Linked DNA regions of Kluyveromyces lactis. The protein of the gene in region 2 purifies or fractionates together with the protein of the main gene of each other region. This does not show direct contact. Links are inferred from orthologs where the notes say so. Each region holds a gene or a part of one and is shown on either strand. Other genes may lie near its edges.

Region 1 (3,149 bases), on a different chromosome or scaffold from region 2:
ACCGCTATTGAAGGAACGTGACCTCCTTTAACGTTTTGCTTAGAGGTAAAAACTGCACCGAATTCTCCCAAAGTTATAATAACAACCGAGGAATTTGATGTGTTTATCAAATTACTCTGATAATACTGCGCTAATTCTAGGTATCCCAGCTTGAAGCTCTCCGCAATTCTCGATTTGTAGTTCTCAACCACGGCTTCACCATACAGTGATTCGCCAATTTGAATGGCTTCAATTTCATTAACAATTAAAATATCAACAGATTTCCAGTCTTCTACTTTTAATGCATGAAATGGAGAAGGGTTGAATACTACCTCAAAGTTTGGTCTATTTGCCTTTATCCAATTCATGATGGAAGGAGGATCAGGAATTTCATGTTGAAACACAATGAATTCTTTGGCGTTATTTTGAAACATCACTTCAAGCTGCTTATCAGAATACATAGTCTTACTGTTCGCTCCTGCTGTAATCATGATTCTATTTTGTCCCTTAGCTTTTTCCACTATAATTACTGCAACACCAGTTGACTCGTCATCAACCTCTTCAACATATTCTGTATTGATGTTATGATACTGCAATTTTGATAGTAGTTGATTTCCAAATGAATCAGAACCTACGTGGCCAACCATCCTAATGTTGCTTGTCTGGTCATCAGATGGTTTGGTTAATTTCGCGAGCGAAATGCATTGATTCAACCCCTTACCACCAGCATGTGTTTCAAACGAATCCGCAACGAAGGTCTCTCCTGCTACCGGAACACGCTCCGTATACGTGACCAAATCAAAATTTAACGATCCCACGACAACTATGCCCATACTGTTGTCTTGTTTACTTTGGGGTCCAAGCTCTTTATGTCGCAGTTAATGCATTGTATATACTGTCAAATCCTGCATATAATTCTTATCATTTCGTTTCAGATGTCCATAAATAAACCCAAAGCAGAGAACAAAACGGTACCTTTTTACATTTAAGCTAATTAAAAGTAACGAAGATGTAACGTACCACTTGACATCTATCCCACCTTTCGCTGGATTAGCTGTTATTTAGGGTATATCACATCAATATATCGGTCACGTGAGAATTATATTCTTTTAAGCAGCCTAGGGAGTCCGCAGATCTATTCAGAACCTTGTCACTTAAGAATTGAAAGGCATAACCAGTATACTGTATCGATTCCTGATAGTGTTCGACCCTCTCAGGGGTTTATACCAGTGTTTTCCATCCATTATTACTGCATAAATCTTTCAAACCTTCATAACGTCAAGGATGTATAAAAAAGTGAAAAACTTCAACTAGGTCTTTTACAAACGATTATAGCTCATCGCATGGGCTTAAGGATGGAGGAACTCCGCCAAGGAGTTGCTACAACCGATCAAGTATGACTGAAAGTATTGATATACATCCAATAGTTTTCCCACCCGAAGTTTTAGCTCGAATTTCGCCTGACATCTCCTTACAAAGACATTTGTCTTTGGAAACTCGACCATGTTCAAGAGGATTCGAAGAATTCAGAGATGTTGCCATTAACGATGGTAATATATCTAGGTACAGTACGAACTGTCAAAATGCAACTACAAATAACATTATTGGTTCCAGTCTTCTACGCTCTGGCAAGACCTTTGTGATAACTTCGATAACGGGTGGCATCATTGAAGAGACATTACCGGCGAACAATACTGAAGATGTTGGAGAAGAAGAATTGATGAAGCTTTCAGAAGATACTGATAGGCTCTGCGAAAATTCAACTATTTATCCCGTAGTAGAGGTACAACGTGGACGTGTTGGTGGTCCTACCGATGAAGAGATGATCACTTCAGAAAAGCTATACAAGACACTCTTACATTCTGGAATTCTTAAGAAAACAGCTTTGGCTGTATCGTGCGGTATTCGCAGGACTGAAGAAGATGGAAGTGTCACCACAATATACAGTGACGAGCTACTCGATGAGGAGAAAAAAATTAATGAAGCAAACAATAGGAAATGGTCCTATGTGCTTTATGCCAAAATACAAGTTTTCAGCCGTAACGGTCCAATTTATGATCTCTGTTGGAATTCTTTGATTAGTGCGCTAAAAACAGTGCAACTACCTAGAGCTTTCCTAGACGAACGTGCTGCTGATTTGAAAATTGCTATAAGAACCCGAGGTCGTAGTATGACAATTCGTGAAACATACGACATCTTATGCGACCCACACAAATCTTTACCTTTAAAATTGAACGAAGGAGAATTATGCTATGGTTCAAACTACGGAATCATTGACATCGAACCTTTAGCACAATTGGCCAAAAATGATGACGAAATGGACGTGGATAAACCAACTTCAGTATTATTAGCGGATATAGAAACAGAGGCCGAGGAATCATCAATTCTATCTACATTGTCCTTGACAACGAACAAAAATGGTCAATTCAAGGCTGCAACAATCATCGGAGGTGACTCTAAGATCACACCTGAAATGATAAAAAGGTGCATATTTTTATCTAAACAAAGATCAAAAGATATTGAATCCAAAGTTTAGTTGTGTAAGAAGCATATCGATATCTTTATAATACACGACATATTCAAACTTTCTTCAAAACAAACGTCAGAGTAATCTTGAACGTCAATCAATAGTTACTTACAAAAGAGGCTAAATTTCTAGTTATCTACGTGAGTTCTCTTTCGTACCAAATCATGACAGGAAACCTATTGAAGGTAAAACATCCATAAGAAAATGTAACATAAATAAACAAGGATGAAGAGAAGAGAATAAAAAATGATAGCGTGTGTTGAATATTACAACGTTTACATGCAAAAACATGTATTTATGCCTTCTTAGATCTAGTATTTCTCTTTCTTGGAGCTGGAGAAGGAGAGGGAGTACTCACATTCTTCAAATCGACATTCACATATTCGTTAACCTTAGCTGCAACACCACCACGAACTCTTTTAACAACCTTAGACTTCTTTGTGCCTTGACGTCTGTACACTTCAATGTAAAATGCAATGAATAAAAATAAGTAAGAAGAGATGATGGCGCATCCAGAGAAAGTGGCAGTAGTCGAACCGACACAAGAACCGCAATGTGGTAGGCTTGGGAAATAATCAGTAGCAACCTTTTGCCAAACCGCGAAATAAATGAAGCATATGTCAACAACGAATTGGATGATTTG
Region 2 (2,727 bases):
GCAAAAAACTCGCCCCTACAAACGAAGAGTGGTGCTTGGGAAGCTGTCTTGGATTTCGATAATCAAAAATCCATTGAGTCTGTTGCACGATCTGAATTAATTGTCGTAGCTTCATTAGTGGATAAAGCACCCAATCTCGGAGGTATTTGTAGACTCTGTGACGTGTTGGGTGTCGGTACTATGACAATTCATGATATTAGAGTCAAACAGCATCCTCAATTCAAAAATGTTGCGGTTACAGCGGACCGCTGGATGCCTATTGAAGAAGTTCCTGTCGATGGTATAATATCTTACATGAATGCAAAGAAGTTGGAAGGATATACGTTAATTGGATTGGAGCAGACTGATTCTTCCATTCAACTGAATTCTGAATTTAAATTTCCATCAAAATCTGTCATTTTACTAGGAACAGAAGCTCATGGTATTCCAGGGCATTTGTTAAAGGAGTTGGATTTATGCTTAGAAATCAAACAATCTGGGGTAATAAGATCCATGAATATCCAAACTGCAACAGCTGTTATCGTTCATTCGTACTCGATCCAGCATTTATAGATATGCATTTATAATAAACACCCTGAAAAGTACCTATTTACTATTTAAATGTTCCTTAATCTGAAGCATCCAAAGCTTTTTCAATATGTGGTGCGTATTGACGAATTAACTTGAACGCTTGTTCTAAATGATGCTGACTGAACCCTTTGATATTATCGTTATTCAAGCCAACAGATCTTATCGGAGAAGTAACCTTATCTTTGTACCACGTAATTAGAAGGCCATTGTTCGATACTATGCTCTCTTCAAAAGTTGGATCCACAAAAACACCGTCTCCTACAATTGCGAACGTAAACAATAAAGGAGCATCTGCCTCTAGCTTAACCATATCGTAATCATGGAATGTGGGTAGCTCCTCCACTTCTAAGTCATCGTCGTTCGATATTAGTTTCGGTAGCCATGTGTTTTTCAAAGCGCTGAAAATGGCGAAAGATATCATTGAGATCGGGTATGATTTGGAGGCAAGCACCAAAACGTCAATGTAAAGTTTGAAACTGTACCTTTTCGTGAGCATTAGCTTTTTCTGATCAATAGTTTGTTTGAGCAATTTGGATAATAGTGAAGACATGCTGGTAACCAATGGAGAGTCATCTCTGTGGCCTTGGATGTCGACATCAGCAACAAGCAATTCTTGTTCTACCGTATGGTCCACGACTTTAGTTTTTACACTCACTATACACTCGCTTCCTCCGCTTAATATCACACGGCTGGATCCATTAGAATTGGGAAGGAAATCAGTAGATACTTCCAATGGTCTAAATTGATGTGGACCTCTTCCATCCGGTCTTAATGGGGGATCTAATGTTAGAGAATCGTATAGGAACGATTTTTCAGTTAACGAAAGTCCCATTATCTTCTTATATTATTTGATTTTTTTTTTAACGAGATGGGTCTGCTTCGTGAGAAGATAACTCGCTTTAAACTCAGATGTTTCTATTGCTGTTGATAGAAGGGAAATAAGCCTTTTCTCATCATCTCATTGCATCTCATCTCAAGCTCATATAAGTCAATACTGAAATTAGTTCAGATTTTTCATTTCTTCTTTTCGCTAATGCACATTAATATTCGGTGTTACCCGGATATAATTGGCCATTAGTGAGATGTTCTGTCAGGTGTCAGTCACGGTTCGAAGTACTAACATACGATGAATGCTGACTGACTGATATTGAAGTTGTACTGATACAGGGTGCTGATGTTTAATATATATACAAATACATCAACTGTTTTATGGACATAATTATTCCTTATCTTTTGATTTTATTTTTGTTCTTGGTCGGTTGCCCTTTGCTAACGATTCTATACAGTAAGATTGGAAATACCAGCAAATGACATACTCCAATGATGCAGAATAATATTGTGACTTTTGCCAGTAGATAAGAGAACGTTGATTCGTTGAGATTTCTATGATCGACATCTAAAGCATGCAATTCCTGGCCAGAATCCGCACTGACCAACGAAAACAGGTCATCTCTACCCTGGGATAACAAATTGAGATCATCATCAGTAATCAAATCCCACTTCTGTTTCTGAATCAGATCATTAGACGTGATGCTAATTGCTACTTGCTTCACACTATCTATGGCATTCCATGAGGAGTCTAATGAAAAGTTGATAAGGCATATTTGGAAATTCTGATGTTCGTATACGCTCACGTAAAGCACAGTTTCCCCATTCTCTAAACCATGTCTTGACTGTACCAAATTTTGGTCTTCGTCATAAATATCCATGTTGACAACCTGTTTTCCCTTTGAACTCGTAGTTGGACCAAACCTATCCACATTAACTTTCCATTTAGTAAATTCTTCAATTTCAATGAGGAATTGTAAATCCTTGGCCTTAATATTCGTATTCATTTCGAAACAAGTTTGATAACTAGACGCGTCACTCGAGCCGTCAACTTCCCATTTTTTATATGGCCACAAATCGAATTCTAATCGATTTGGGTTTATCGGCAGTTTAAGGGTCTCCGAGACAACTGAACATATCAGTAAAAGGACATATATCAACGATATCACCATTTAAACAAAAAGAACAAAAAAATTACTAGCTGGAACGAAATGAACTGGGTATAATAACAAACGAAAAGACCACAATCTAATTACTGAAGCGAAAGCTGTGGATTAGACCCAAAAAAAAAATTTTGTCTGGCCGAATAAGAACACAAAAAGATATTGA

What was found.
Region 1: the proteins of RRP42 (region 2) and RRP43 purify together in Saccharomyces cerevisiae (affinity purification with mass spectrometry; 5 studies listed by BioGRID). This does not show direct contact. The link is inferred for Kluyveromyces lactis from reciprocal best matches to the Saccharomyces cerevisiae genes RRP42 and RRP43.

The regions. Positions count from the first base shown.
Region 1 is NC_006039.1:318,923-322,071, forward strand, and holds RRP43 (exosome non-catalytic core subunit RRP43), read left to right. Parts: upstream 1-1,375; coding exon 1,376-2,515; downstream 2,516-3,149. Other genes in the region: RBK1 (putative ribokinase), read right to left, coding at 1-812; KLLA0_C03542g (elongation of very long chain fatty acids protein), read right to left, coding at 2,802-3,149.
Region 2 is NC_006041.1:823,737-826,463, forward strand, and holds RRP42 (exosome non-catalytic core subunit RRP42), read right to left. Parts: upstream 1,403-2,727; coding exon 608-1,402; downstream 1-607. Other genes in the region: TRM3 (tRNA (guanosine(18)-2'-O)-methyltransferase), read left to right, coding at 1-552; RRT6 (Rrt6p), read right to left, coding at 1,797-2,570. UniProt on the Saccharomyces cerevisiae protein: Non-catalytic component of the RNA exosome complex which has 3'->5' exoribonuclease activity and participates in a multitude of cellular RNA processing and degradation events.